Linked DNA regions of Rattus norvegicus. The protein of the gene in region 2 interacts with the protein of the main gene of each other region in a biochemical or structural test. Links are inferred from orthologs where the notes say so. Each region holds a gene or a part of one and is shown on either strand. Other genes may lie near its edges.

Evidence for each region.
Region 1: the proteins of Jun (region 2) and Atf3 form a complex in vitro, tested with the Homo sapiens proteins (2 studies listed by BioGRID and IntAct, with this or other methods). The link is inferred for Rattus norvegicus from reciprocal best matches to the Homo sapiens genes JUN and ATF3.
Region 3: the proteins of Jun (region 2) and Fbxw7 form a complex in vitro, tested with the Homo sapiens proteins (3 studies listed by BioGRID, with this or other methods). The link is inferred for Rattus norvegicus from reciprocal best matches to the Homo sapiens genes JUN and FBXW7.
Region 4: of the proteins of Jun (region 2) and Prkd1, one has a biochemical effect on the other in vitro, tested with the Homo sapiens proteins (2 studies listed by BioGRID). The link is inferred for Rattus norvegicus from reciprocal best matches to the Homo sapiens genes JUN and PRKD1.
Region 5: of the proteins of Jun (region 2) and Mapk9, one has a biochemical effect on the other in vitro, tested with the Homo sapiens proteins (17 studies listed by BioGRID and IntAct, with this or other methods). The link is inferred for Rattus norvegicus from reciprocal best matches to the Homo sapiens genes JUN and MAPK9.

What each region holds. Positions count from the first base shown.
Region 1 is NC_086031.1:105,291,673-105,298,392, reverse strand, and holds the start of Atf3 (cyclic AMP-dependent transcription factor ATF-3), read left to right. Parts: upstream 1-2,648; 5' UTR 2,649-2,801; intron 2,802-6,720.
Region 2 is NC_086023.1:115,009,270-115,015,907, forward strand, and holds Jun (transcription factor Jun), read right to left. Parts: upstream 3,725-6,638; 5' UTR 2,867-3,724; coding exon 1,862-2,866; 3' UTR 631-1,861; downstream 1-630. UniProt on the Homo sapiens protein: Transcription factor that recognizes and binds to the AP-1 consensus motif 5'-TGA[GC]TCA-3'.
Region 3 is NC_086020.1:172,603,394-172,608,685, reverse strand, and holds part of Fbxw7 (F-box/WD repeat-containing protein 7), read right to left. Parts: intron 4,031-5,292; coding exon 3,805-4,030; intron 2,286-3,804; coding exon 2,075-2,285; intron 1,065-2,074; coding exon 796-1,064; 3' UTR 1-795. UniProt on the Homo sapiens protein: Substrate recognition component of a SCF (SKP1-CUL1-F-box protein) E3 ubiquitin-protein ligase complex which mediates the ubiquitination and subsequent proteasomal degradation of target proteins.
Region 4 is NC_086024.1:73,770,128-73,776,929, reverse strand, and holds the start of Prkd1 (serine/threonine-protein kinase D1), read left to right. Parts: upstream 1-2,523; 5' UTR 2,524-2,804; coding exon 2,805-3,062; intron 3,063-6,802.
Region 5 is NC_086028.1:34,703,750-34,709,864, reverse strand, and holds part of Mapk9 (mitogen-activated protein kinase 9), read right to left. Parts: intron 5,598-6,115; coding exon 5,415-5,597; intron 4,075-5,414; coding exon 3,950-4,074; intron 2,968-3,949; coding exon 2,904-2,967; intron 2,019-2,903; coding exon 1,950-2,018; intron 1,578-1,949; exon of another isoform or gene 897-1,577; coding exon of another isoform or gene 892-896; coding exon 749-891; 3' UTR 1-748. UniProt on the Homo sapiens protein: Serine/threonine-protein kinase involved in various processes such as cell proliferation, differentiation, migration, transformation and programmed cell death.

The DNA.
Region 1 (6,720 bases), on a different chromosome or scaffold from region 2:
ACTCAGATGTTGACAACTTCCTTTGGTCCAGACCTTGGGGCTCTTCCTTCCCGTTTTTTCCTCAGGCGCTTTATGATTCTCTTGGGAGCCTAGGGGACTGAGTCCGGCAGAAAGTGACTTTTGTTTGCCTAGGATAGGCGGTTCATCCAACCTATAGGGGGTGGGGGTGGGCAGACTTCTCCCTGGAGAATCTTATCGCTTTTAGGGTTTCAGTAAGAGGGAGGGGATGATGTCGGACTCGGAGCTCTGTAAACAACTAAGAGTTTCTATCTAGGTGCGACGTGGTGACTGAAAGCTAAAGATTAGAACAGCAGGGAGACGGGCGTGGGGGAGGGCACCACGGTCATGACCAGATGCCCACAAAGCTCTGCGGACTTCTGTCCACGTTACTCTTCACGGTTCTGAGGGAACTGCTGGCCTTGCTGCTTGGGTTCTCAAGGCTGTCCACTTGAAGACAGGACCCACTTCCATAAATCTGGCTCGAGTATTAGCAGAACTCCGGTTTAATCCGTAAGACAATAAGGATTTCTGTAGAGGTTCCCAGAGGCTTGGGGGCAGGGTTCGTGTGCCCCCCCCCATCTCCCTGTTACACTGGATAGTGGTGTTTATTTATTTACTCCAGGGCAGCCTGTTAAAGAGATGGGGCAGGTACGAGGAGATCCCAAACAACTTTCATTTCTAGGCACCTGGCATTCTTCGGGGTTGTGCCGACACGCCCCGGGTTTACCTTAGGGCAGGTCGGCTGGAGGGCGGGCGGTGGAGGTGTGGAGCAGGGTGTGGGCGTGGGAGATGGAGGGTGGGGCCCCGAGAGCGTTACCAAGGCAAAAACCAAAGCAAAACATTTGCCTGGCGCTTCCCGCGCGACGCTGCTGCAATCCCGTCAGATCCTGGCAGGATCAAAGGGAATCCCGGGGATGGAACCACCCCAGGCTTCCAGCGAGGACAAGGACAGAGAGATTCCGGGGCCCTGGATGGAGGGCAGGGGCCTGTGAAGGTCGAGAGTCGGCCTTGGACTGAAGGAACCCGGGTGCAGAGAACTTGATTTTGCCCGAAGTGTCTGTCTCTGGGTACGGCGTAATACCGTGTGCGACCTTTTCCGTAACCGTCCGGGTGGCAGGTGCTATGGGGCAGCAGCACGGAACAATTCTGCGTCTCACCCTAAACTACCACCCTGTGACCTTCTGATCGCCTTCCTCTCAAAGGCAGGTGTTAGCAGGTGCCTCTGCCTTTACACCTCGGCGTCCAGCCCGGTGTGCGCCTACGAACGCCTCCCAGGCAGGTGCGCGACTACTGGGCCGCAGCCGTGTGCAGGTCTAACCCTTGATGAGCTATGGGGACCAGTCCGGGGTCTTGCGCTCAGCCCAGACCGTCGGAATCACTGGATCAGAATCGGGAAACTATTTTCGAGGTTCAAACCCAGGTCTGCTGAGGTCTTGGCCTGAAATCGAGCCGTACGCGCCCAGCCTTCCCAGCCACCAGATTAGGGAACAGAGGGCCCGGTGTTCCGGCTTTAAGCGGTGCGTGCTCAGTCCCCGCCACCGGGTCCCTAGCACAGCCCTCTGTTCCTGCATACAGACACTCGAAACCTGGAGACGGTTTTTCTCTAAGTATTTCCCGACGTCCAGGCGGACCCCCACCCCCGCCCAGGCTGGGCGCGTAGAGATCAAAGCGTCCTCTTTCCCGGACTGGCCGAGCCGCCTTTTTCCAGCCCCTTCTTATCCCTGCGCTAGGTGGCCTCTGATCTCTCCAAATCTTTCCCCTTTCTAAGCTCTTGCTTTCGCGGAGAATTCCCTGTTCATTTAAAAACGTTTTGTGGTTGTTATTAAAAACAAAAATGAGCTGACAGCGACCGGTCACTGACACCTTGGGTTCCTGGCGGGTTCTGGGGCCCCTGCGTGTGCACGGCCAGGGCGTGGGAGCACGAAGCCGCCGAATGTCTACGTTAACCCACAGCTGTGAGCGGGGGCCCGCGGCAGCGGAGGTCACAGGGGCCGGTAACCGTGTGGATTCACCGGAGTGTAACTTTGGGTACCTCCTTCACGCGGGATATCGTCTCCGCTACCCCTTCCCCGCCTCCTCCTTAGGCTAGGCCGCTGGCCAGAGAAGGCGCCTTTTCCTGAAGTTTTAGAAAAATGACCACGCATTTTAGAGAAAGGTCGTGCCCGCTTCCCAGCCTCACCTAGTCTGGGCCACTGCCAGGACCCGCCTCCCAGCACCCCTCCCCCACCCCCATCCCAACCTAGCGGAGGGAGAGATGCCAGGGCGGTGGAGTCATGCCGCTGGCTTGGGCACCATTGGCTCATGCCTGGAACACGCAGCGGCGAATACGCACATCTGGCGGTGCGCCCGGGCGGCTCCCGGCCTGATATGGAGATAGAGGGCGGGCGGGTGTGTGTGTCCCGGGCGTGCGAGGCGCGTAGGACGCGCTGTGACCGCCCCTTCTCGCACTTGCATCACCAAGTCCGCGGTCTCCACCCACCTTTTGCCCCGCCCTCGTCCCTCCTTCACCCCTCCTCTGGCCAGTTCTCCCTGGAAGCTATTAATAGCATTACGTCAGCCTGGGATTGGTAACCAGGAGTTAAGCGGGCTCCCTGCCAGCGCGAGGGCTTTAAAAGGGGTGATGCAACGCGCTCCCAGTCACAGTCTCACTCAGCGAGACGCGCGGTGCACGGTGCTTCCCCGGCGGAGCCGACCGACCAACCCGCGCTCCGGCAGAGTCCTTGGCGCTCGCCTGCCGGCGGGACAGACAGCCCGCCTCTAGCCGCTCTCTGGACCCTGGCCGCCCCGAGCGAAGACTGGAGGTGAGCATTAGAACCACGCCGAGGAGCGCTGCCCTCCCCACCCTAAGTTCCCCTCTGGTGACCATCCCCCGGACCCTTGTGCCACTGGGGACCCGAGCCCTAGTTTCCGCACCACAGTCGCTCGGCTGAGCTGTTCTTCTCCGCCGCCGCTCCCGGCTGGGGAAAAGTTTCTGGTAAAGTGAAAGAACGAACTTTCTCTTTTGACTTGAGGCGTGAAAGATGCCCTGGGAGGAGATCGCGCGCTCTCAGCTCGCAACTAGGAGAGGTCCTCTGGGTGGGTGGTGGGTGCTGGTGCGCGGGGGTGACCCACACTCTGGGGGTCGCGGTCCTCTCCTCCGTCCATCACTTTGTGTCTGGGCTCTGGAGTAGGAGTGGGTCCCTCCTGAGTCCGCGGAGAGGTGTGGTGGCCCTGGCTTGTGGAAGCGCTGCTCCGGGTACGGAGCTAAATGAATGGAGAAGGAACACTCGGTCGGAGGTCCGCACAGCCGCAGGAGGTCGCCTTGCGCTCCGCGGAGCAGAGCTCCGGGCCGCAGGATCTCGTAGAGGGCTGGGAGCGAAAGTGAGTCGGGATAAGTTTGGAGGCGGCGAGCGCTGGTGTGGCGCTGTCCCGGGGCTGAAGGCAGAGAGGTCTCCGCACCCGCTAACTTCGGTCGGCTGGGCTTGAGACGTCACTTCCAGCCTCATTCGCTGTTGTGAATTGCTGTGCTCTGGCTGACTTTTAACTGGTCCTTGGATTTCTTGGTGTATTCGAAGTGAGCCGAAGAAATCGGATCAAGCGGGTGGAGGGACCAGGGTGTGGGACCACTTGTACTTGTTGGAGGGAGGGGTCCGGGAGGAGTTGTCTTGTGACAGGGTCTCACTCTGTAATCCAGACTGCTCGTAAACTCCGGGCAATCCTCCTGCCTCAGCATCCCAAGTGCTGAAATTACAGGCCACTATGCCTGACACCTCTCTGCCTGTGTGGGAGCCTGCGCTGCGTGGTTCAGATAGCCAGGTTTTGACAGATTTGTTTCTCGAGTGAAATAATTGAAATAAAAGGAGTCGGGGTGGGGGGAATGCTGAGTGAGGGGGCTCCCCACCCAGCTCTCCTAACGGGTCTCTGAGACAGGGCAGGAATGGGGGCTTCTCCTGCATCTCTGTCTCCTAACTCTCTCCCATTGGGTTGCTTCCCTGCTCCCACCCCATTCTCATTCCCAACTCCCATTTCTGTGTTTTCCTCCTAGCCATTTTATTTTCTTTGATTTCATCACACCAGCTTTCTTATAAACTAAAGGAGTTGCCAAGTCCAATAATTTAAAACGTTTATTCTCCCCTCCCCTGGTTCCACTTTTTTGAGACAAGGTCTCCCCGTGTAACCTGGTCTTACTTTGAGCTTACGGAGATCTTCCAGCTCCAGTCCCCAAGTGCTGAGAAGAAGAGAGCACATGTTTTGCATGTTGCGTTTACTATGGGATAGTGTTACCACACACAGGCTCTTGCTTGGGGGTGGGGCTGAGGCTGGGGTGGGGGTTACTGTTGCTTCTATCTGGAGGGTTCAGAGGCTGCTGACCAGGTGTCCAGAGTGAAGAAGACATCGCCCAGCATCTGTGGCTATCTAAATCCCTTCTCAGGCACACCCGTTTCTTGTAGCCATTCTGTCAGAGCCTCTTCTATGACGGGGTTGGGGGGGGGGTGCAGGACTCTTCAGCCCATAGTTGCCTACCTGGCTGGCAGCTCTGTCCATGATTGCTTACTTGGTTGATCTGTTGAACTGCTGGGTCCTTGTGGTAGTGCAAATCGAGCAAGGGGTGGGTGTGAGCAGCTTGGCTGGACCGGACCACACCCATCTCTGTGAGTTTAGACAAGTGCTACCCCTTCCAGGACCTCAGTTTACTCAATGACAAAATGGGGATTTGATCCAGATAATTCTATGTTCCAGGAGTCTGTGATTCCTTAAGGAACTGGCAACCGGGGGTTCCCCATCACAGGAGGAGGGACATAGTCAGGAAGCCACAGAAACTTCAGGAGAGAAATGGTTTTCTATGTGAGAACTCTCAGTCTCTGTCAATCCAACTATAGTGGAGGAGTGCTGATGTCAGCAAATGGGGTGTAATTCGCCCTGTGTCTTGGGAACTCAGGGGTCAACCACCAGCTTGAAATTCTTGATAGTTCCAGTCAATTCCTGATCAATAGAATTAAACCGAACTGAACTTAATCAGGTTCCCTGAGGGGCTGGGGGGAGGTGGAGTCAGAATGGACATGTGAATACTGATTTTCTAATGTTTGTGCATGTGATGTGTTGTCCCCCCCCCACACACACACACAACCCTGGGAGGGAATTGGCAACCTTGATCACAATTTTCAGATAGGAACTAAGGTCAGAAAGCATCCAGCTCGTAAATGGATGCTCAACTAGTGGGGACCAGAGATAGAACTGGAGAATACTGTCTCATCCCACCCTGAAGCAGCCTCTGCCTCCAGCCTTCAAACAGGAAAAAGAACAGGATGTGGAGTTAGGAAGGCAGCTACTGATTCCCCAGTACTACAGGACGGTTTGCAGACAGCTGGGTGGAAGGAAGTGGAAATCAAAAGTGAAAATTCAGAGCCATCATAAGCTACTTGGAGATAAAAATCTAGGAGCCGAATTTCCAGCTAAATAAGGGAAGTTTCATTTTCTTGAAAATGACGAAATTGCCAACCGTATGTGACATAATTTCTGATTGGTAGTGATGAAACAGAAGTGGAATCTGGAAGCAAATCTGGAAGAGAGTTTTATCATCAGTGCAGAAAGTTAAGTCAGCTCATTCCCAAACCCCCAAACACTCCCTTCTCTGGGGCCTCAGCTTCTGGAATCAAGCTGAAGTTTTAAACTTTCTTTCCCTGGAGGGACACAGCCTGACTTCTAGTCTGACTCTCTGGAGAACTCTGTGCAAGACAAACCAGGAAGGACAAGAGCCCAGATCTTGCAGAGTATGCCCCACGATGATGGGAAAAGTTTTCTTAATGGCTTTTACAATGCAATTGTGTCCCCAAGTGAGCCCCACCCCCCCCCCCCAGCTTTTCACAAAAACATTCCACACCACCACCACCGACATTCCTCGGTTTCTTCCTGAATTTACACTAAGAATGTTGTTGGGGGAAGTCCGAAACAGCAGACTTTAACCTCAAAGGGCTCATTAATAAACGTAACTGGGTGGCTAAAAGGGACATGCTCAACTGCTATGGCTCAAACCAGTTAAGTATAGATGAACTATTCAGTCCTACAGATTGGACGGCCAGGCCAGTGGCAGCTCTGATCTGTTTTCCAGTAAAATGGGGAAGGAGAGTGTGTGTATGGGAGGACGCTGAGCCCCTGACTTCAGAAGTCAAAGAAACAGCATCCCTCAGCCACAAGGTTAAGAGACATTCAGTCCTTGCTCCCGTCTGGGAGAGCATTGAATATACATTTCTCCAGTTCTTTTGACTCTGCAATCACTACCCTGGAATTTCTGCCTCCACCGGGGGCATTAATCTCCAGGGAAAAGCAATCCTGAGGAAGGGCTCCTAACATCATAGAAGGTGAGCAGACCCCAGGGAGTCTCCGAGGGAGAGCAGCCATCCTTCCGTGGGAGTTCCTGGGAGACCCAGTGTAGTTCCTGGTCTAGGCATTTCAAGGCATTTCTTGTATTATTTCCCAAGCTGCTCACCACTCTTGGGGAATTAGGGAACTCATTACCAGCCGTCCTTTGCAGAGGAGAAAGCCACTGGGGTACTGTCACAACACATAACTGAGTGGTCCTCAAACCTCGATTTAAAAAAATAGATTCTGGTGTGGAGATTTCATGGATAAAATGGCTCGTTTAAACTTAGCTCTCTCCGGTGTAGGCAGTAGCTGAGTGTGGACCTGATACACAGAGCAGAGCTCAAAGTTCCCTGGGAGTCTTTGCTCCCCGCCACTGTT
Region 2 (6,638 bases):
ATTTACCACCACAGGCTCTCCCAGACCCGTTGAGCATTGGAGCAGTGCTAATGAGTTAACAGCCAGGCTTCAATTAGTGGTTTCTGAAGTGTTCCTGGATATCAAATTGCTGTTGCTGCTTGATAATCACAGCAGCTCATGGGGATGAGAAGGGAGCAGGCAAAAATGATTCCCTCGTTGAATACAAACCTGTTGATAACCTCAGCTGTATCTGAGACACGATTCAGGTTTTCTGTCTCCCCGGAGCTGAGGTTTGGATCACAGATGTGCTATATAGTCATTTCTCTTGTGACTCCGCTCCATAGTATATATACTAGGAACTTCCCAGACTACCTCAATAATTAAGCCAGATTGATTATTTTGAAACAAATTAAAAATTAAATAAGGACTCACTACACTGGTCACTTCCTTGGTAGGAGCGAGAGGTGGGGGGATGGGGAGGGTGCCAAGTGGGAATTGGGAGAGGGTTGGGAGAAGAGTCACCCAGGTTCCAGATCCTCCTTTGACTCTTCCTAAATGCTTGGCTTCTAAATTGCAAAGTGTAGAATGCACTAATTCCCCCAGAAACTTGGAAAATCTTCAGTGTGCGGCTTAGGAAACAAAGATTAGCAACGGAAAAGGAATTCAAGATTTTTAAAACCATTATTTGAATACATTTATTGTGATACGAACTATTATAAATATGCACAAGCAAAGGTCATCTTTTTCTAGGAGTCGTCAGAATCCAAGTTGGAAGGAGACACCTTTTGTAAAACCTTCCATGGGTCCCTGCTTTGAGATAAACATCTAATTGCTGAAGTCTTTATTATTATTATAAACGATCACAGCGCATGCTACTTGATATGGCTCTCAACTCAAGCGTCTGCTTTCCCAGTGGGCTGTCCCTCTCCCCTTGCAACACCCTCTTCTTCCAGCCTTAAGAAACACTGCACCATCTTCTGGTCAACAGTCTGGACTTGTGGGTTGCTGGGGAGAGAGAGAGTATGAGCCAATGATAGCATGCAGGGTGTCTATTCCTACAACCAGACGGGAGGGACTACAGGCTCTCACCCCAGCATACAGACACTCAGCTGTCATTTCACCTAGCTCTCATTATCTATCGATAATGCAGCAGAGAGGTTGGGGGCTACTTCTCAATGGTTTATTGTGTTTTCTTAAATATCCTTTCTGAAAATTTTCAGAAACAAAACATAAAAAAATTATATACTTTATTACAAATGGTAAACTCAGAATGCTTCAAATCTCTTATTTACAAACACTGGGTAGGACACCCAAACAAACAAACATGGAATAACTTACAAAGGCAGGAAGCTGTTTATTATAGACAGTAATCAGCTTTCATCAAATTAAAAAAAAATATATGTACATACATAGTTGAGAGAGGCAGGCCAGGGGAGTTCATCCGCAATCTAGCCTGGTACTCACAAGCCTCCCTCCCCTTCCCAGCCCTCCCTGCTTTGTGTTCTTACGGAGCACTACAGAAGCAATCTACAGTCTCTATTGCAGTTTGTAAGCCCCCACCCACCCCCCTTAATACTGAATGAGATCGAATGTTAGGTCCATGCAGTTCTTGGTCAATGTTAACGAAAAGTCCATCGTTCTGGTCGCGCGGGCACAGCCCGTTCGCAAAGCGTGGCGGCCAACAGGCCGCTGCTCTCTGGCTCCTCGCCAAAGCCAGGCGCGCCACGTCCTTCCCACTCCAGCACACTGGGGGCGCCGTCAGGTCGCAACCCAGTCCATCTTGTGTACCCTTGGCTTCAGTACTCGGACACTTTTTTTTCTCTGTCGCAACCAGTCAAGTTCTCAAGTTTATCTCTGTTATTTTTTTCTTCCACTGCCCCTCAGCCCTGACAGTCTGTCCTCAAAACGTTTGCAACTGCTGCGTTAGCATGAGTTGGCACCCACTGTTAACGTGGTTCATGACTTTCTGTTTAAGCTGTGCCACCTGTTCCCTGAGCATGTTGGCCGTGGACGCCAGCTCGGAGTTTTGCGCTTTCAAGGTTTTCACTTTTTCCTCTAGCCGGGCGATCCGCTCCAGCTTCCTTTTCCGGCACTTGGAGGCAGCGATGCGGTTCCTCATGCGCTTCCTCTCCGCCTTGATCCGCTCCTGAGACTCCATGTCGATGGGGGACAAGGGCGGCGTCTCTCCCGGCATCTCCGGCACCGTCTGCGGCTCTTCCTTCAGCGCCTGCAGCCGCGGGTGCTGCACCGGGATCTGTTGGGGCAAGTGGTGCGGCGGCTGAGGCGGCTGCTGCTGCTGCTGGGGCTGCGATGGAAAGGCCAGCCCGGTCGCGCCATAGGAGGGCGCCCCACCGCCGCTGCTCAGCGCACCCGGGTTGAAGTTGCTGAGGTTGGCGTAGACCGGAGGCTCACTGTGCAGGCTGGCGCTGTAGCCGCCGCCGCCGCCAGCGCCAGCTACTGAGGCCACAGCGGGAGCGACCATGCCCGCCCCACTGACAGGTTGTGCCGCGGAGGTGACACTGGGCAGCGTATTCTGGCTATGCAGTTCAGCTAGGGCGCGCACGAAGCCTTCGGCGAAGCCCTCCTGCTCGTCGGTCACGTTCTTGGGGCACAAGAACTGAGTGGGGGTCGGTGTAGTGGTGATGTGCCCATTGCTGGACTGGATGATCAGGCGCTCCAGCTCCGGCGACGCCAGCTTGAGCAGCCCGACGTCGGGCGACGTGAGAAGGTCCGAGTTCTTGGCTCGGAGGTGCGGCTTCAGATTGCCCACCGGGTCGGCCAGGTTCAAGGTCATGCTCTGCTTCAGAATCTTAGGGTTACTGTAGCCGTAGGCGCCACTCTCGGACTGGAGGAACGAGGCGTTGAGGGCATCGTCGTAGAAGGTCGTTTCCATCTTTGCAGTCATAGAACAGTCGGTCACTTCACGCGGGGTTAGCCTGGGCTGTGCGCAGAAGTTTCGGGGCCGCAACAGCGCGCCGGGAAGCGGGGGATACCCGCGCGTCCCCGCTTCAGTAACAAAGTTTGTTTAGGAGCGTGCGCTCCAGACCGCAGTGCTCCCCCCTGCGCCCTCCTCCCCAGTTCGCTCCAGGGAGCGCAGGGTTAAGACACCGCTTGCACTCACGTTGGTTGGCTCCCGCGCGATCCGGAGCTTTGAAAAGTCGCGGTCACTCACGGAGCGCTCTCGGGAAGCAGCGGTTCCTCGGAGCCCGCGGACCAGCCCCAGCGACAGAGGTTCTCCGGCGGCGCAGACCAGTCGTCACGGAATTCTTGGTGGAAGCCCGCGATCGGGCTCTGCCGCCCGGCCTCCGACAACTGTCCCCTCCTCCGCTGTGAGGGGGAGGGGGACGCTAGGCAGCCGCGGCTAGCACTCGCCCAACTTCAGCCGCCTGTGCGAGCTGGTATGAGTATAGGTTCCTCTTCTCCCTTTTCTTTACGGTCTCGGTGGCAGCCTTAGGCGCAGAAGAGGTTTTGCAAAAGTTCGCTCCGGGCCACTTGTTCCCGGTCCTCTGGGTCAGGAAAGTTGCTGGCCGGTAGCCGCTCGCCTATTTCCTCGCGCGGTCCGGAGCCGTTCTCGATGCTGTCAGCAGTGCCGGGACTTGTGAGCTTCTTCTCCGGGAAAAGCGGGAGAAGGGACTCTCCAAGTGCTCCCCAAAACACCGGTGCAGGAGCTGCGGGCGCTGGATCCAGGCAGTTGGTCAGAAAATGAAGACAAACAGATGAACAGCCCGGAGTCCGCGGACGACCAGGTTAGCCGAGTCCGTCCGTCTGTCTGTCTGCCTGAGCGCTCTCCAGCTAGGCAGTCTCTGCCACACTCAGTGCAACTCTGAGTCCTTATCCAGCCTGAGCTCAACACTTATCTGCTACCAGTCAATCCCTAAAAATAGCCCATGATGTCACCCCAAGGCCTTCCCATTGGCTTGCGTCGCTCTCAAGGGGGCGGGCCCACCCGTCGCCATGGAGACCTCACCCTAGAAGATTCTTCTCTGGGCCCGCGAAGGCTCACGGGATGAGGTAATGCTCCGCTGCGCTCCTACAGTTGGGCCCTTCTTTCTCCACCTCCCTCCCCCTCCCGCGCGTTGCTCCGGCTTGTGTTCCCGGGTTCCCTCCCCGGCGCGTCTTTCCCGGCCCGCCCGGTGCATTGTGGGCTGACGTCTTGGTTTGGCTGTCTAGTGACGGAGGCTGCCGGGTCCGCTGGACCCTTGCGGAGTCTGTCGGAGGCGGGCTCAAGTTCAGGGCTGGGGACCCAGACCGAGACGCGGGGATCCAGAAAGCTGGGGAGACGCGCTGGTGGCCTGGGGCGGAGGGCTTGGGTGGGAGTAGAGGTTACACACACACACACACACACACACACACACACACACACACACACACACACACACACGAACACACGAACACACCCGTGAAAGGGCTGAATGATCTGGGCGATTGAAGCTGGCTCCGCACCCCCGCACTTCCGGGAGACAGAGCGACGCGGGTTAATATGGTTGTGTTCGCCCCGGGTGCGGGAGCGGCAAGTGGGTTGAAGTTGAGCGGGTTTGAGAGTGGCCCTCCCACGCCGAGTGCGCATGGAAGTTTAGTTTCGGAGAAGGATCTGCGCCGCAGTGTGCTGTGCTGGAAACCAGAGATTTGCTGTGCTCGGAATGAATTCACCAGGGTCCCCGGCACAACACTTCATTTTCTGGGGACGTGCCGGGAGGGGTTCGCTTTACCTCGGAGGGACCCCCTTCTAGGTGTGAAAGATGCCACCCCGGCTCCTTGGGGTATGGAAAGCAACATATAAAGGTTCGAAACTCAGGAAACCCCAGCGCTCGCCTGCACTAGCACATACACACAGCCCCGCGCACACTCAGTTCGCGCCCGCCCTTCCTCCCTCCCTGATTTGCTTCTGGGAAAACAAGCCTTGAGAGCTGCGGACTCGCCCCGAGTCACGGTGCTTAAGCAGGAGTCCCTGGTAGAAAGACTGAAAAATCCCCTCCCCGCTCGATGGTGGATTCATATCCTGTGCGGCCTCTAGGAAGCGCTAGACACATGTAAGTTGTTTCTTTTCTAAGGTTCTGCTATCCGCCCTCCACCCTCTACCCCTTAAGACTGACTAAAGAGGTGGCGAGCTTGGTTCTCCCAGGGCAAAAGTGCAAATCTCAGAACTTTCTGAACTTTATTGGTCTCATCTAGAAGTAGAGTGGATGAGGTCCATCCACTACATCGGGCTGCTAGGCATTAGTCTTGACTCTGAGACTAGAAGGTGGTCAATTGGTGCCCCTTTCCCTACCAGCTTCGGAGTTACCCCAGGCCTTCGGTGGGGTGGGGTGAGGGTGGGACGATTTGGAGGATACTGGGTTGTGATTTGGCAGGAGCCAGTGTATTTTCCTAAGCGAGGTAGGAAAGGACCGGGAACCAGCTGTTCCCTAAGCCGCCCTTCAGCCTAGGACTTGAGGTTTAAAGTTGGACTTTAAGTTCCTAGGTTCTAATTTGGACTTTGCTGCCTCAGAACTCAGCTCAGGGTTTGTACCCTTGTGCCTTAAGATATTTTGCCTTTTGAGTATTCAGAACCCAATAGCAGCTGGTATCGGTGGGAAACCTGCCAGCTCTTTTTCACTCCCGGCTGCAGAGGGTAACTGGCTGCTGCCAGCCAAGCGCTGACCTTGGTGGGGGCAGGGTAGAGCAGGGTTTCTGTGAAGTCGAGATACATTTACTTCCCCCTAAGGGAGACCGAGTTACTCTGTGCGCGGCCCTCATCCTTTTTTGCCAAGGAGCTCATATTCTACATGATTTATGATAACAGTAATAAAAGTAAGTTTTGTCTATTAAACACTAATCTGCTAGTTAGTCCAAGCAGTTTTAAGTATGCTGTTTTCTTCCCACAGCTATCTTGGGAGGCATACATTTTTACCTAGACTTTTCGTGGAAGGAAATGGTCCCAGAAAGTTCATGCGTCTTGCTTGGGGTATACAGACAGCTGGAAAGTGAGCTCAGGTCTGTGTTACATTCCTTTGTATTTTCTGGCTCTGGCAAACTTTCCCTTAAAGTCATAGTTATTTGTTTGGAGAGTGGTACTGATGGCATAGAAGTTGTTCCCTTGTTCCTGTATTTAGAAACTCCCAGACCTAGGACCTTGTGTAATTATGTATCTTTTGCCCAAGGGGGTTCTGTGCATCTTCTGCCTCCTGTGGTTTTAAGAGGCTGATTTTCCACTTAGGTTAAGAAATAGCAGTTTCATCAAGGCAAAACAGATCCCTGCTCTTGTTAATGCTGTGCTGCTTGGAAGCCATCATCAACTTCCTCTTTGCCTGGGAGAAGGGTTTTTTCACAGTCCAGCTTCTGCTCTTTTTAGCCATATCTTGCTGAAAGCTCGGTTGGTAAGGGTTGGGCCATGCTACCCTAAAGAACCGAGCATCAGAGGCTGAAGTCAATCAATGATTGTTTTTTGATTCCTCCAATTACTTGTGGTTGCTTTCAGTGCCCCTCCGGGTTTGCCCTCAGTCTTCCAAGGACTTCACAAAAGCCCTGTTTGGGCTTTAATAAGTGTAAGGGGACTATTGTTTAAGTCTTGATGATGGTCTTTTGTAATGCAGGTTGATTGTAATCCCCACACAGTATAGTTTCTTGTATGATGCCAGGTATACCAAGTACCAGTAGCCATAGCAACTGCTCTTTCTGGTCCCATCCCCACTGTTTGC
Region 3 (5,292 bases), on a different chromosome or scaffold from region 2:
AAGACCTACTTCTAGCACCAGCATCAAGAACTAAATCCACCTCAGGACTCACAGAACCCAGGACAACTTGCCATCTTTGAGCAACATATGCATTGAAGAGTGTATATAGAAGCAACAGTAAATAGATTAACAGAGGCTAATACTGTGATTGATTGACATTGGCAATGGTTGGCAAAAAAAAAAAAAAAAAAAAAAGAAAAAGAAAAAGAAAAAAGAAAAAAAAGAAAAAGGAAAAAGAAAAAAAAGAAAAAAAAAAAGGAAAGAAAAAGAATGCTTCATGGTAACTGTACACAAACAATTCACAGTAATTTAAGCTTTTCCACTTCAGAAAAATGACTTTTTGTTGCAGATGCTCTGATTGGAAGATAACCAGCCCGTGTTTGGAGATCACCACCACTGCTCCTTGGTGAAGGTAACAACGCTGATGAAGCTCTGCCCAGTGACCACTGGAGAAGAAAATAAAGAACAATTGCACCTGGTTGGGTTTAGAGTCTCCTTTCGCCAAGCTGCCCCTCAGTCAGAAGTGAGGCCTTTGGGTGATGCGACAGCTGCCGCCTCCGGTCAGTTACGGTCTCTTGTCTTCTTCTTACCTCCTTAGTCTGTAGGTCTTTTCAGTCTGTTGTCCCAAGCCAACATCCTGCACCACTGAGTACAAGGGATTTTTTTTTCTTTTCTTTTTTCTTTTTTTTTTCTGTTTTTTTTTTCATTTTTTGTTTGTTTGTTTGTTTGTTGCGAGGGGGAAGGGCAGGGAGTATATTGTCTACACAGTCGGACAAAATTCATCTTGTCTGCTTTTCATTTCATGTCCACATCAAAGTCCAGCACCAGCAGCTTGGTCTCCTCAGTCCCATTCCGACTCCCAACTGCACACACCAGCTTCGTGTTTGAGGCCCTGATCCGCCACACGACTCCCCCGCTCCCCCCACTCTCCAATGTGACTAGGTTTCGGATAAATTCACCCGTTTTCAAGTCCCAGAGTTTTACCGTTCCATCGTCTGAGCTGGTAATTACAAAGTTCTTGTTGAACTGTAAGCAGGTCACAGCGCTCTGATGCTTGCTGGGACCTAGGCAAAGGCAAAGGGTGGTTACTGCTTCGGAGCGAGGCTCAGGGGCTTTTGCGTGGGACTCGTGCTCTCTACATTAGAACATACAAGAAACGCAACATTTGAAAAGCTGTGCACTTACGACCAGTTTAGGACCAGCTTGGATGTAAGAAAACCTGGCAGCCATTTGTAACTACATACCAAGTCTCAAGAGCTCTGGCTCCCAGTAGCCCTGGTCAGCCAGCGCACGTGCTCCACTGCTGGATAAAGGAACATGCAGGTCTGTCACTCAACCATTCTCAACTGACCAAAGAAGGAGGTGAACCTGTGACCAGCCCAAACTCTTAGGAACAGTCACAATTATAGAACAAGGGCTTCCCTGTGCTGCCTCCTGATGGCTTCGCCCCAAACAAACAACAAACAACAAACAAGCAACAACCTTCTAAGGGCCTGACTAAGGGGAGAAAGTTACTCATGAAGAGCCCAACGGCTATACCTAATGATGCTAATACTTCTCACTCGAATCTTTACTTCAGAGAGCACCATTACCCTTCCATTCCAGCTGAAGGAACTGACTAAGCAGAGGTCAGAGTAACTTCCTATCAGAGATGCTTCAGTTCAAAATAAAATGTTCACTCAAAAAAAGCATTGCTCTGTGAGACAGCCAAGTCTTTCTTCTCATTGTTAAGTTAAATAGAGTCAACAGAACACGTAGCAAATGATTAAGAGTTTTCACAGTAGGGGCTGGGGATTTAGCTCAGTGGTAGAGCGCTTACCTAGGAAGCACAAGGCCCTGGGTTCGGTCCCCAGCTCCAAAAAAAAGAACCCCCCCCCCCCAAAAAAAAGAGTTTTCACAGTAAAGACACAATTGAAAGACATTTCTCAAGGTGGCCTACTTTTGAAAGCCAAACATTCAGAAACTCATCAGGAGCAGGTGTTCTATATAAGGTTAAATCTCTGTTCCACACAGGCTCTCTCTTGGATAGCAGTGACACTTCCACAGAACATGGCTGACGGAGGGCCAGACTTACCTTGCAATGTCTGTAAACACTGTCCTGTTTTGATATCCCAGATTTTAACTGTAGAATCTGCATTCCCAGAGACCAGAATATTGTCTTTGAGTTCCATTCCACTTGTTAACGACTGGTGTCCTGTTAGCGTGTGAATGCAATTCCCTGTCTCCACATCCCAGACTCGGATTGATGTATCAAGAGATCCACTCACCACATGGATGCCGTCAAACTACAATAGACACCGAGGAGAGTATTAGAACAGAAACACAGGTCCCTGTCCTCGCAGCTGCTAACCTTACTCACAATGGGGGTGGGGTACAGGCAGCATGCTGGCCAGAACAAAGAGCATCCTGGGGTGAACTTGCAGGTAAGCTGATGTGCATGTGATGTCCATGTGAGTCTGTGGGTCATGTGTCCAAAATACTACAAAGGACCCGATATAACCGTCATTACTTTCAGATCACCTGGTCCCAGCATGAAGCTACATCCCATCCATGTATTTCGTAAGAATGCAGAGTCTGACTTGCCTACAGGAAGCCGAAGACAGAGCTCAAGATAAGACATGCTTATCAGCACCCAAGGCAAGGGAGTGGCCACAGATGACTTTCATGATATTCAACAGTAAATTCCACCAAAAAGCCTTTGTAAAATGAAGTTGTTTACAAAAACTTAATGCTAATTAGCATATATCCCAAAAGAAAACTGTATCAGGAATTAGAAGAGGTGGCATTTTAGTAACAAAAGCAAGCTAAGTAGTCTCTTCTTCAGCTTCCCAAGGATACTAAAAGCCAATAAGCACCCACCAATCCCCCAGAAGGTATATATAACATGCAGCTATCTATTCTGAGATCATTCTCTGTGGTCCTGAGCACATCACAAGCAGCAACATTAGCAACCAATCCCTCCCCTTGGAAGCCATCATCTCTTCTGGAGTAATCAACATCCTTATCATAGATCAATACTTCATTGCTTGGGCAGTATCATCAATTAAGAATCAGATGCCCTAAGAACAGCGACATCAGCACCAGGATTCTGTTCTGCTTTGCTCATCACTAACCGGCAGTAGTAACGGGGAAGGAAATTATGTAACAGGAAGTACTTTAGGATGGAAAATGCTGCATTTCCAGAAATAAAAGTAACCGCGTTTTATGTCTAGTTTCTGAAGATCTTGAAATATTACAATCTATTAATAAATATCAAGTTCAAATCTAAAGGAAAACAACAGGTCAGTCAAATTCGTCTCTCTGTGGCTTCCAGTCAGTGGCCTTGGGCAAGTACAGGACTTTCTGCAGAAAGGTTCCACGGCTACTTCAAATGGCAATGGGGTCGCAATCACATGCTCCATCAACTTTTAGCTATCAAGACAAAGGGGCAGCTTTTGGTCAAATTAATCCTCGGCTAAAGGACTCGTAGCAAAATGTACAATCCTGAAGTATCAGGTTCTAAGACAATATCTGTATTTTAAAGAAAGAATGGATCACAGAAATTGAAATCGTTAAATGAGTTACATGATTTTGGAATCTGTGCTTCTTCATGCTAATTTTTTTTTCTTTTTTTCGGAGCTAGGGACTGAACCCAGGGCCTTGCGCTTGCTAGGCAAGTGCTCTACCGCTGACCTAAATCCCCAACCCACTTCATGCTAATTTTAAAGTACATATAAGCAGCAACTGGACAGTAACTCTCTGAGGAGAACAATCTTCTGAGTCATCGGCAGACAATCTATGGGTGGGAGAAACACGGTCTCTTACCTGTAACGAATAGACTCTATTAGTGTGTCCCTGTAACGTGTGTAGACAGGTCTCGGTCTCTGGATCCCACACCTTCACCATAAAATCATATGCTCCACTAACAACCCTCCTGCCATCATACTGAACACAGCGGACTGCTGCCACATGGCCCATCAAGACGTGTAAACACTGGCCGGTCTCAATATCCCAAACCCTGAGAGTGGCATCTCGAGAACCGCTCACAACCCTGCAGAGAGGAACAGAACGAAAGTTAGACAATGAATGCACAGGGCAGAGGAAACCGCTGCTTTCTCCTTTTTTCTTAAACAGAAATCCTTTCCCAAGAAACGCTAATGCCTTTAAATGCAAATTCCAGGTACTCTGCCTGGAATGAGAAGTGAGGAAGACTTGAAGCTCAACTGGTCACTGGCTTATGGGCCTTGGTTCCACCTCAAGGCTCCATGGTCCAGTTTAGGGAGCACTGTACTGCAAGAAACAAGCACCTGTCCACACATACAGCAAGATCCTGGGCAGCAGGATCCTGGGCAGCAGGTAACGGGGCACATGCAGGATCCGCCATGCACCTCCAGGGGTATGAACTCATAACAATCCAGAACGTTCCCTCTCTATGACCTCTGTCATTACATTACACTGCAGGTTCCTACTACCTATTCGAGTGAAGAAAAATCTCAGCACAAATTATCTTTAGACAAAGGAAGAGTTTTAAAGTGACTTTGGGACTCAGAAAGCCATGGCTGTTTCCTTATGCTCCACATTAAGGGAAGTCAGTTTCAGACGCATGCTCACAGCTGGTGACTCACAGATTGTTAAAGATGTTCCTACAGCAGTAACAGCAGTGCCTAAGAAACTGTCGCAGTGCCACAAACACTATCCTCTTCTGAAAAGCAGAGTGAGACAGTCATGCAGGTACCTCCAGATTCCCAACCAGGCACCTTTACGTCATTCCCTAGACATAAGAGCCACTCTCCATTTTAAAGAGTGGAGTTCAGAAGTGTGAGATAACGAACACAACAAAAATGGAAATGTTATGTCCTTTGAAACCCATCCCTAAACTGTAATCACTGTGCAAAGAACACACTGTGCAAAACAGGCTCAAATTTAGGAGTGAAAAGGAGCCCCGTGTACAGCACAGCTGTAGGGAGCCTATTTACAGCGATGGGTCTTGATACAAGGCAGGATGGACAGAGCTGTGGTCATGCGTGCGTGGAGTCCACGTAAGGACCCTTCTAAGATACATGCTTTCAGAGCTGTGAACGCAAGGACCCTCCTGTCTCTACCTTCTCCGTGCAAAGATGAGCAGCCAAAAGCATGCTTTCTGACAAATGAAGTAGAAAACACAGCCTCTTAGCTGGGCGCAATGAAGATGGGTCAACAGAAGGACCTGAGGTTAGCAGAAGCCTGAGATACAAAGCCCCAGGCAGAGACTGGGTGGGAAAGGGCAAAGAGGCCAGGCTTGGCTGAAACCACTTGGAAATGGGACTGAAAGTT
Region 4 (6,802 bases), on a different chromosome or scaffold from region 2:
AGAAACTTGGACTCTCCAACCCTGTGTGTCTGTGAGTATGTGTGTGTCTGTATGTGTGTGTCTGTGAGTATGTGTGTGTCTGTGAGTATGTGTGTGTCTGTGAGTATGTGTGTGTCTGTGAGTATGTGTGTGTATGTGAGTATGTGTGTGTATGTGAGTATGTGTGTATATATGGGGGGTGGTGTTCTGCTGGTTATAGAGTTCAAGTGGCTTTAAGTTTTTTGTCCTTGTGTTGATTCCTTTATTTTTCTTCATCTAGTAATGGTGTAGGCCCTTAAAAATAATTTCATTTTCCTGGGCCGTTTCTGTCTTTTGCTTCCTTTTCAACCATTTCCAGCACCCTACAAGAATCTTTCACATCATGGATACAGCATAAGGAGTTATTCACAGTTTTTTCTTCCAAAGTGGTTCACCCATGTTCCTATGTCTCTTATAAAACTGATCAGTATGTGACATTGCTTTGGGAAACCTTGTCTTGCTTTGAAAAGACCTCAAATATAACTTTGACCTATTTCTTTTCTTGACTATGGGATCCATAAATCTGGGTCTGGTTATTACCATTTGAATGTTTAGTGTCATTTCAAATGTACATGCTTTAAGAATGAATCTAACTTCTCCCCATCTGGCTTCTTATCTGTCTTCTGTATCAATTATTAGCTGCAGGGAACCACACCAATTTCTCAAAAAAACCTTTGAGTCTTTTCTGACACTTCTATTTCCCCACCACTGGAGAATGAGAGCAAAGAGCAAGGCCTTTAGTTTGGCCTCTACATTAAGAACTGTAGCCTTTCATTTCTCCACACCTCCACTACCATCACAAGGATCCTGCAGGGGGAGGGGCAACAGCTAGGATCCCTAACCTACTGCTCCTTTTTATTTCTTTCTCTTATGATTTGTTTCCTGTGTAAGAGCCAAAGAGTGATCCTTTAAAACATGTTAATACATTCACTGGCCTGTTAAATCCTTCTCAATGGTTCAGCGGTGCATTGAGAATAAACCAGAAACAAATTAGTACAGCTTTCAAGAACTGGTTTCTATCTGCCTGCCAGCCTCATTTCTTTCGTGCCTTCAGGACAGCAGGTGTAGTTGATCCTCTCTTGGGGTCTTTTCTCTTCATATGACTAGAAGGCCATTACCTAAGCTTGTCTTAAGACTAGTCCTTTCCATCAATCAGGCCTTGGCTCAAATGGAAACACCGTAGGAAAGATCTGTGTTCTTTACTGGCCACAGTACTTAGCCTCATGTTCTTGATCATGGTTACTGCTGTTTGTCAACCATACTGATAATTAGGGCAACACAGTGTTACACTGTTAATTAGGGCAATTGTTGCTATGAGAACTAACTTTATTTACTGTCTTACTTTTCTATTTTCAATGTAATCTGTTATGGCAAGAACATAGTCAAACTTCATAAGTGGATGGCTAGTGCCAGCAGACTCTGGGACAGCAGTCCTCCTTTCAGAGCTAGGATAGCTAGAAAACACAGATGTCTCCCACTCTGGCCACTCTTAGGTAAAACTAGGTGCTTTAAAGTACTCTGTAAACTTAGGAACAGCACCCTTATCCTGTCTACCCAAGCAGTACTTTGTACCACCAATCTAGAGAGTTTTCTAGAATAGTGAATGACTATATGTAGTTGTGAATTTTAAGATTCCATCACTGACATAAGACACAACCCTGTAGAAAACCACATTTCAATGAACCATTAGTCAAGACAAGACAAACAAACAAACCAGAACAAAATTAACACACTGCAAAGAAAACATGCAAAAATTGTTTTGTGCTTGTGCATGTAAGAGGAAACATTGGGGAAGCTGAAGTGAGAAGTAGGGCTGCCAAGATCTTCAGAATTCTCAGAAGGTTTCTGATGCTTTTCATTGCAGCTTGTTAAAGCAAATAGGGCTCCTGTACATCTACAAACTCAAAGAACCGACCCCGAAACAAAGACAGAAATATAATAAGGCCTAAGTTCTCCGAAGAACCTCTTTTTGCTCAGCCACCAGTATAATCAGATCAAAATTAGTGCTGTGGATGTGGGGCAGGAATCACTCCTAGAAAGTCAGGTTTAGATTGACAGTTTTGAAGAGGCTGAAACACAGAAGTTCCAAACACAAAACAAAGTAGAAAGCAAGAACCCTATTCAGACCTTGCTCTTGCCTGCCCTTAAGAAGGCGGTGGGTGGAGCAGGTGGGGTTGATGGAAAGGGTACAGACTATTACTAGAGAGACAAGGGTTTAAAGAAGTCAGCTGACTGGGCGCCTACCCTTTAACAAACTCGAGGGCTCCCAGAGGGAGTCCCCTGTTAAGTGGGCTCTGCCGGGCTGGCATTCCCGGGTCTACTCCTGTAGGATCCTTTGGAAGGGGTGGCCAGGACTGCCCTAAATGGGCGGGTCCGCGGCGCTAGTGTCCGCCGAGTGGGTTGGGGCGGCTGCTGCGCACAGGGGGCGGCTCCCCGCTGGGCTCCCGTTCCCCTCCTCGGCTCCGCGGCGCCGCCCTCGCCCCGCCCCGCCCCGCCGGCGCCGACCGCGCCGACCCGCCGCGGTCCCCGGAGCGGAGCGCGCGGCGGCGGCAGTAGCTGGGCGCCTCCCACGCGCTGCCGCGTGCCCGCCCGCTCGCCCGCCAGTCTGCCCGTCCACCGGCCCCGACTCCGCTCGGCCATCTTCGCCGCTCCCGCCCTCGCCAGCCCGGGCCGCGCGCCCTGTCCCCGCGCGCGGACTTTCCCGGAAAGTTTGGTGGTTGTTTTCGGCCGCCGCAGGCAGCGGCGCCGCGCCCCACCTCCGCCAAACTTTGGGGCTCACTCGCGCCATGAGCGCCCCTCCGCTACTACGGCCGCCTAGCCCGCTGCTGCCCGCCGCGGCCGCTGTGGCCGCCGCCGCTGCTGCGCTGGTCCCGGGCTCCGGGCCCGCGCCCTTCCCAGCGCCTGGGGCCGCCCCGGCGGGGGGCATCTCGTTCCATCTGCAGATCGGCCTGAGCCGCGAGCCGGTGCTGCTCCTTCAGGACTCCTCTGGCGACTACAGCCTGGCGCATGTCCGGGAGATGGCTTGCTCCATCGTGGACCAGAAGGTAAGGTGCCCCGGGTCCGCCAACTTTGCAGCCGGCCTCGCCCGCGCCGTACAGCCTGGTTGTGGCCGGGTTGCATGCTCTTACCCCAGGCACTGCTCTCCGGGCCGCGCAGTCCTCCCGGGACTGACCTCCAGCCCTTCTTCGCTGGCATGTCTGCCTTCTCACCTTTACCTCCCTTCCTCCGGTGACAGTTCAAGGAATCTTACACTTTTCTCCTTGCGCTCCAGCATATTTTTGAGATTTCCTGGCTGTCCCGACTCCTTTCTCTGGACCAGAGCCTACCTGGTGTCAGATCCACTTCCCAGCACCAGAGTTCCCTTGGGACAGCCCTTCGCTTTTTCAGCACCGCTCCCTTCCACTCCATCCTCTTTCAGCTCTAATTGATGCTGCGGAGTTCCGGGTGTGACCTGGACGCCAGGGATTTCTCACCTGCCAATAGTGCTTTTAAGAAAGGGTGATTGATTAAGCCAGCTGTGAAAACAACTGAGCAGTTGGTGCACACTACCCAAGTCCTCCCTGGATTTAGTACCACCTCTGTTGGAGCTAAGAGACATTTTCCAACAATAAAACCTGAAATTTACAGCATTTTGTGCTTAAATTTCCATCCACTGATCTTGGGAGACTGGAGTAGTGAGAGGGTCTGTAGTTCCAAGAACATCCAGTGCTGGCTTTGCCCTTAAGTTTGAGGCGATGCGATTCTGGATAGCGGTCATCAAAGACTGGTTGGAGAAAGGCTCATAAGGCTGGGCTTGGCCACCCACCATTGTTTCCAATGATGAATTCCACTTTTGAAGTTAGGTTATCTCCACAGCCATCCAGAAGGATGCTTCATGTAAGGTGGAGGACCCTTGCATGTGCCACTCCTTCCCAGTGTGGACAGCCAGGGCTCTGGGGGAGGAGAGAGAGATAGAGGAGAGGGTTAAAGGTGCTGAATTTCAACCTTGGAGGGCTGACTGGCTACTTCTCACCTTTTAATGAATAGTCACCATCTTAAACTGTTTGGAACAAAGTGTCCTACACTTTTTGAGCACAGAGTTCTAGGGAATTGCTCCTGGGAAGCACTCACTAACCAGGAAGTGAAAATTCTAGAGGCCAGACTCAAGTAACAGTGAGTGCCTTGAAGTTTGGTTAATTAAAGGGAGTGATTTTTTTCCTTATGTAATTGAACTCTTTGTAGCTCCCTTGAAGTACTGAATTCAGTCCTCCCTCTTCCTGGAGATGGTGAACATGCAAGCATTCTAGGCTCTGACGGCCTCACTATATAGCTTTCAAATGTTTCTGTTATGAAATGGATTGATTGATTATAAAGCACTGCCACACAGGCATACACAACACATGTAATAAAATCATTCACAAAGCCCATTCAGTTCCATAACAATTTAACAGGACGTTCTAAAGAAGATGGTATAGTGTTAGAATGTCCCAATGGGCTAGATTAATGAGGACAAACTTTGTTTTGACCTGCTTAAACTCTCTCTTTGTCTCTGCCTTCCTGCCCCCCCCCCCCACGGTGTGTCTGTGTGTCTGTCTGTCTTTCTGTCCTTGAAGTTGTGAATGGTGAAATACGATTCAAGAGGTTTGGGTTGGGCTTTTGAAGAAGAGTGAATTTCACTTGACTCAGGGGGCTGCTATCTGGGGAGTGTTATCAGCACCCAGGAGAAGTGTAAGCAAGAGGACATACAGGTGCAGCAGGCTGGAACTTCCTCAGTAGGAGATGTAGGGAAGGTTCACTTATGAGAAAAGTCTTGAGATGATTAGAAACTTACATTGTAAAAAACTCAGTAATCTTTTCAAAAGAGATAACCAGACCGGGCGTATCTGAGATCCACATTAGCTTTGTGGAGGGTGTTTTAGAATGGCAAAAATGTAATGGCAGAAAGAAAACTGGAGTACAGTCAAGTGCTGTTTATATCTGAGCCAAGACTTGGGGAGAGCTGGAGGAATGCTGGAAAGAGAAGGGCACCAGTCTTGCTGGCGCTTTCTAAGGGGAATCCTTTCTTTATTGTGTTTATTTTGTAGCTTTTCACCAAAAGAAAAGTTTGAAAACTTTTCCTGGGATAACCATAGCCTTTTTTTAAATGGGTCTGGCAAGGTTAGAAATTTTGAAATGTGAATTTTATAATACATGATATTATAAGTAAAAATACTAAGTTATGGGTCTAAACAGTGTGCCTCTTCAGTTATTCTCTCATCTATCGATGTAGATATCAATAACCTATTATCTGTATCTGTCTTCATCATCTATCATCTCTCCAGCTGTCTGTGTCAATCATGTAACTATCAATCACCTATCTGTTATCTCTCTACCTATGCACCATTTGTTTGTTATCTATGGATCTTCTGTATCGATTTTTGGCATATGTTATTTGCCAAGACAGAATTCTTGTGCTGTGACAGCAAGAGTGGGTAGCTTGCTAGTATAGAGGTAAGGAAGTGGGAGGGGGCTTTTGTCCTTTGTCTCATGGTTTCTCTTAAGCTTCAAGAAGATAACAACTGTGAGGAAGAATGATGGGGGTGGGTGGGAAAGAGAGAGAGAGAGAGAGAGAGACAGAGAGAGAGAGAGAGAGAGAGAGAGAGAGAGAGATCTATACATACAGGTTTTTAAGAAGAAGGTTCTCTTGATTTTTATAGTCCTTCTATTTATTGTTTCAGTATTAGGGGGCTTTTTATCTTGTCTGTGCTCAAGAGCCCCTAAAAACTAACATGGACGCTTAGCTCGTTGGAAGTATTCACTGACAATTCAGTTGACTTCAGCAGTTTTGTTCAGGAGACCTTCTCTGTGGGATGAGCAGCTGAGGTGGACAGGGCTAAGTAAGAGAGCTTCTGTGCCAGAGAAACTTTGCTTGAAGTTACTATTTAGTAGAACTTAACAATGTAGTTTTTTCCTTAATTTGCAGGTTTAGAAAATAGCAGATGTGTGCTCATACTTGATGAAATTAGATGGTAATTCAACAGAAGTACTTTTAAGGTATTATATCCTAACCATTTTGTGAGTTATAAGTTAGTAATACTTTTTTAATCTGATAGTTCAGTAATCTGGGATGATCTCTTTCTTTGCATGGAAGAGTGTATGAATACATAAGAGGTTATTAACTCTGCCCTTTTGGGAGATTGAGCTAAGGGCTAACTTACAATATTTATTTACTTTAACTTCACATGTGTGTATAGCATTGGATGTTGGTTATAGGTGAGGATGTGTTCTTTAATCAGTATGCGTGACTTCATTTTACTTTGAAATTCTTTAACTTTCTTCCATCGAAGGAATTTTGACTATGTAGGATGGGAAGGCATTATTGTGAAGCAATGGACAGTATCTCAGAGGATGATGCGGTTTTGATCTGTAGCAGGCTACCTGTCCACATTGGCTGCATGCACACACAGGTGCACAGGTGCACTTGAAATACAGAGGGCATCCAGTGAGTAACATGTGACTCAATTATCCAACTTCCCTGTTCATTTGAGTTTTTTCTTACTAAAAAAGACAACCAAGGCTTTCTCGTGAGCATGCTTACTTTGAGCAACACGGTCTGTGAGACACCTGACCTAAACTTTACTCTTAACACTGAAATTAAAGAGTGAGCGTTTGAGAGGGACATAGCCACCACAGTAGCAAGGTTGGTGCCTTGGTTTCATAGTTGCATTACTGTGCTTGCCATTGTTTTAGTTTCTTAATTGTATATTGTTTTCCTAACAGTTGCTGTGTCCCCTTTAACCCTTACAGTTAATTTTAGCCACTCCAC
Region 5 (6,115 bases), on a different chromosome or scaffold from region 2:
GACATAAGTCGTTAAGCAGAGTGAAATACAACTTGGAACTTTGTCATGCAGAAAGCTGTACGTAAAGTTTCCCATAGTGGGCAGTTTAAAGGACACAGAGTGTCGATATAAAGCAGTGGTAATTCTCAGCCTAAAACATCACAAATTTAAGAAAAGCTGTAGTTTTATTTATTAAATAAATTTAATTATATTCCTTCTGAAATACAAAAGACAGAATAAATCATACCATAAAAGTGGGTAAAATATGATAATATGATAGTGGCCAATTCATACACATGATCTATTTTTTTGTGGACAGACACCAAATTACTAAAGAGGATTAAGAGATTATTCTAGAAGCAGAACTACCTGGAAGATTATTTGGCATTTAAATACTGATTCCCAAAGTGCTACATGGGCAAGTTCAAGCAAGCATTTGTGGTCACATGCATACGAGTCCCCACAGTTACACATGATCTGTCACCAAGGACACCACACGACTGGAAAAAGAAACTCGGCTATTCTAATTGCTCACCTGAAATGATCTTGAACAAAATTTCTAACAGTGTGGTTTGTACTTTTTCTCCAGACATCGTCTGCCTCATGTTACAGTCTACGCAGGCAATCCTACTGGAACTGAGTGGGGGCAAGGCGTCGTGTTTCTTACATGCAGAACATGGAGCTTCTTGATTTGGTTCCACCAGCTCCCATGTGCTCAGGGCCATGGAAGCCAGAGTCCTTCACAGACAAGTGCGCCATCTGCGAGGTTTCATCGGCAGCCTTCCAGGGGTCCGGTTGAGGCATCGAGACTGCTGTCTGTGTCTGAGGCCAGGGTGTGCTCAGTGGACATGGATGAGATGTCATTGATGGATGACGACTGAGAAGGAGTAGCCTTGCTGCTTACTGCTGCATCTGTGCTAAGAAAACCAAACGGAGTAAAATCTGAGGCACGGCATCCTGCACGCCAGGCGTGGGGCTTCAGGCTACTTCTCCATTCTGTGCTTGGTAGTTTCCGGATCCTAATGACCCACAGAACCAAGACTGCTCAACTACACTTTAAGCTTCTGGGATTTTTCCTGGAGTCCTTTGTTAGTTCAGTTTCGAAATCAGTCTTGGGCTTTCCCTACAATAGTCCCCTGTTCTGCCCGCACCACGGGCAATGTGTATGTGGTCACATATGACCATGTTGATGACTTAAAAGATATACCTGCTAACTTCAAATAGACCTTAAGAGAAAATGGATGAATTCTCCCTACAACTACCACAAGAGGCTTAGGCCTGAGAAGGATTCAAGTGTGATGAACATTTCATCCACAATAGACAAACCTCATCTGTAGGAAAAACCATCAGGATTCAAATGAATCTTTTGTGATAAAAACACTTTCTAAAATATACACCCCAGGGGTTGGGGATTTAGCTCAGTGGTAGAGCGCTTGCCTAGCGAGCGCAAGGCCCTGGGTTCGGTCCCCAGCTCCGAAAAAAAAAATACACCCCAAAAGATAACTTTAGCGCCTGCTTTAGATTTTATTTTTGTCTAGTGAGTCAAGAAATCATTATTTTAATTTCGGAGGTAAATAAAGCCCTCCTACCTCCTACTACCCATGTGTTACTGTGGCTGAGAAAACTAAAGCACGTGAATCTTAGGTCTGCACTGACATCCTTTTTTATAAACTGGATGGATCCAAGCAAAGAGGGCAACACGTTTCAAACACGTTTCAAATCCAAACCCCTTCCTCTCTAAACAGAGCTGGCGACGACTACAGCAAGGTTACAACAGGGACGCTTCAAATGCAGCTTAGGGCTGGCACCGCAAAAAACATGAGTGCAAAGCCACTGCACCAGCATCAGGGCAAGCAGGAAGGTAACAATGTCATACAAAGATAGCCAAGTGACATTAATATATCACTGTCATTTATAAACATTGAGTAGGTAAAGAAATATGAGACAACAAAATTAAAGCAATCACCAACCTGAAGGCTGGTCTTTCACCCCATTCTTGCTTCTTTCTTCCCAGTCCATCACTTCTTTGTAAATTAGTTCTTCAAAGAGAAACAGAAGTCGAGATGCTTAGGTCATTTCCCCTGCACCGAACTCTGCCTCCAGATCCCAAGAGCCACCCCAGGCCCTGGGATGTCTCAACTTCCTTTGGCTACCACATGTTACTAGGGGCTCACATTAGCAGCATACTGCAAGCATATACTACTGTGCGTGTTGCCATGGTGACTGTGCATGAGTGGGCCACTGGCATGTCAATCTGGAAAGTCTGATCAGTGCTGACCTGCACTGACTATGGCCCTTAGTTACTGTAACCTGCTTCCGCATCATAATGGAAGCTTCCAGGGTCTGCTTCTTGTTGACCATCTTAGTTCACTCACTGTGACTGGGGTTCATCTTGAAGTGCTAGTAATACCTTCCTGCTTATTTTTGGCAATTTCCTCCAGACTAGATTTTAAAATACGTAACTACATGGTTTAATATACACATTCAATTACATGTGCCATATCTGGGCTCCCCCATACCTGCTTAGACGGGATCTGTGTAAGGAATATGTGGCCTGTATACTGGGTTTGCTCCAAACGTCCACGCTATCAAGAAGTGTGAACACTTAGGGGTGTGACCAGGCCACACATCAGTGTGTGATGATGGAAGTCACACAGAAGTCCTTTGCTTCACCTGAAGGAAATTATGATGCCATACATAGTCTACTCTAACATGCTAGTGTCACAGTCGTTCTCAGCTGGGAAGTGGAAAGAGAGGACACTGCGGCTTCTGGCTTTCAAGGTCCTTCCAAAGAGGCTAGTATGAATAAGTAGTAAAAAATGTGTTCTGGAGGGTTATGGGAACATGTTGTGGTGGACTATGGGAGTGTGCTCTGTACGACTATGGGATCGTCATAAGAAAGGATCTAAACAAGCCACTCTTACCTTTCCACTCTTCAATCGCATGCTCTCTTTCTTCCAACTGGGCATCATAAATTTGAGGTGGTGGCTGAAATGATATGTCAGGTCGATAGCTCAAAACTTATGGGCCATGCTGGGAAGATAACACTACTTAGAATGTTCCGAGTCTACTCATGGATTTATTTTAATTAACATGTTCTAGATTTTTCTTGTAAGCATGATATATTTTATCAGTTTAAAAGACAATTACAGAAAGTTAACCAAAAGCAAGCTATCAGTAATAAATCTCAATAATCACATGACCTCAAAATGTTCTGCAGACATTGCACAAGTGAAGTTACAAAATTAGTAACAATAGGCAGCTCAGAGGGTCAGCTGTGTGGGAGCTGAGTGAGGTGTGGTATGTTCTTAGAAAATACTTCCAGTTCACATTCTTCATGACAGAACACCCATGCACAGGCCACAAGCTCATGAATGGAACAGTCCATAACTTGGCTGTTCATAAATCTGATTCTTTTGATATAACATAATGTTACAATGGCAGTTAAATCTAAACCCAGGACACAACAGTGTTCCACCACTGCCATGAAGTAAACTCCCCACGGTGTATTTCCCTCATAGCTAAGGATCATCACACGAGGGATGCTATGAAGAAACAAGCCCAGATGCGGCGGGGAGATGTGAGCTGATGTGTCTCTTGGGAAGGCTGCTTAGGCTCTCTGACTTGAGGGACTGAATAAGATGTAAACAAAGCTCATAGCCCAGTGCCAGGCATGAAGCAGGTGCCTCATAAATTATTATTACACATCAGCCTTATCAATATAAGGTCAGCATACACCACAGTACACTCCTGAGCATTCTGTAGCTACAGCCCCAGCGGCAAGTGCCACCAGGGTTACTGACCTAGGCCTTAGACAGCACTTGTTCTACTGCTTAAGTCAGGACCCTAAAACTAACAACCTGCTGTGCTCATGTAGCCATTCTGGGCCAGCGGAAAGAGGACCCAAAGACAGTGGGTCCTGGATTGTACAGTGAGCCCTCTACACGGACATTTTCCAAAGAGAACTTACCGCTTCTGCTTCAGCGGGGTCATACCAAACAGTAATATACGGGTGGCGCAAGGCTTCGTCCACAGAGATCCGCTTGTCCGGATCAATCACTAACATTTTCGATAACAGATCTCTGGCTTGACTTGCTAGGATGTAAACAAATGATGCAATTACATTGCTACCGTGGAAAAGAGGAACCACATAATAAAGAATCAAACAGAAAGTATGGAGGGCAAAGAGACATGCTGACTTCAGAAGATGTGTAAGAGGTTCAAGACCAACACAGCTTACACCTTTAAAAGCCCAATGGCCACTATTAAAACCAGGCTTTTAGCATGTGAGGTGAGGGTACTAGGTAGCCTCAGACCAGTACCCAGATGACCTGAAGCTATGAAGCCACAGCACAGCGGGCAGCAAGCACCTCTCTGAAGACTGTGCTGCCAGGAGTGTGGACATCATGTAGCAGGAGCATTGTTCTTTGGGTCACATTAGAACAAGTTTAAAACCTTCAGAGTAACACACACAGTCCCAGAGTATAGTTTCACAGGCACCACTGCTTTGCCTAGCTGTATACAGTGTTTTTGTTTTTAATCTAGAGGTTAGTAAGAAAAAAAACCAAGAAGCTAATTAACTTTAATTCAGAATGCTCAGTAAGGTCCCAGCAATGAAAAATTCACAACATATACAGCCAAGGAAAAGTCGGGGCTTTTGTGACCAAGGTGCCGCTCACCCTGGCATAGAGGACAGCAAAGCTATTGTTTTTCCTCAGGTGTCCACATTCTAGGAAGGACACAGAAGGGCAACGAGGGCCTTTTCCACTGGACCACACTTAATAGTTTCTGTCTAGAATCCTTACTGAAATGTTCTTTATATTTGAAATGGTTTTGAATTAGGATTGGTGACATTACAATATGGGTCTTGTGTGTGTGTGTGTGTGTGTGTGTGTGTGTGTGTGTGCGTGCATGAACATGTGTGGTATATGCATATGAATGTTTGAGTGTGGGTAAGATGTACTCTGAGGCTAGAGGGGGAGTTGGTGGTCTTGTTCTCCTCCTCATTCCTTTATGACAGAGTTCCTCACTGAACTGGAAGCTCCCAGTTCCCCTACTGGCTGGTCAGCAAGCTTCCAGGATCCACTGGTCTCAGCCCCAGAGGGTGGGTTACGGGCACAGGCAGCCATGCTTGTGCCTTCTGAGTGATGCTGGTGATGAAAACTCAAGTTCTCACCCTTATAGGGCAAGTGTGTCTGCCCGAGGCACTTTCCCACCCTATAACCTAAGGGTTTGCAGACTGATCTGAATCTTTGGCTGCACTGTTGTAGCAAGGTCAAGACTCTCGGCCTTTAAAGTTTTCCTCCTGTGGTGCCTTTGAACATCAGACTGTAAGAGCCTCTATTTCAGGGTTTCTAGCACTTCACCTCTTAACATACATGGGCTTTAGGGTTCAGGTGTTAGAGAAACAAGTGCAGGATACAAGAATGCCTTACTTTTTATTTTGTCTCGTTCGGATTCTGACGGAAATATCCAATCTGGAAAGAGCTCTTCAAATTTGATTCCAGGGTACTTTGGTCTGTTTTCCACATAATTCCTTACAGTTGGCTGAAGTTTCTTCATGAACTCTGCGGATGGTGTTCCTAGCTGTTCAATAACTTTATTCCATTGATCAATATCTAAGGATTCTCTTGAGGAAAACACAGCTACAATGCGCTTCAGAGTCGTAATACATACAATACTCTCATGCAAAGAAAAACTGTTTATGCCTATGAACAAGAAAGTAACTAGGCTACCCTAGAGGATCAGCAAAAACATTTTGAGACAATACTTAAATAAGGTTTGGGTTTCTAAATCACTTAATAAAAGCTCTTATACTCTGCATCTTTAAAAAGTATGGTCATGGTTCATTAAATCAACATAATCTGTTTTCCTATTATAATTCAAAATAAAATTATGACAAAAATGATTCAACCTATGAGATAAATGATTAAACACAAAATAAATAAATATCACATAAACAAACTGAAATCAATGTTCATACTAAAGCTACCTTAGATGTACAGGTCTCTAAATGAGAGAAGAACTTTCGAGATCAATCTGACTTCTCTCCCAGCTGGGCATCGAACCTGTGAGACAGGCTGACCAAGGGAAGTCTGGAGAGGGGAGGGGAGGGGAGGGGCCTGGGTTCTGGCCT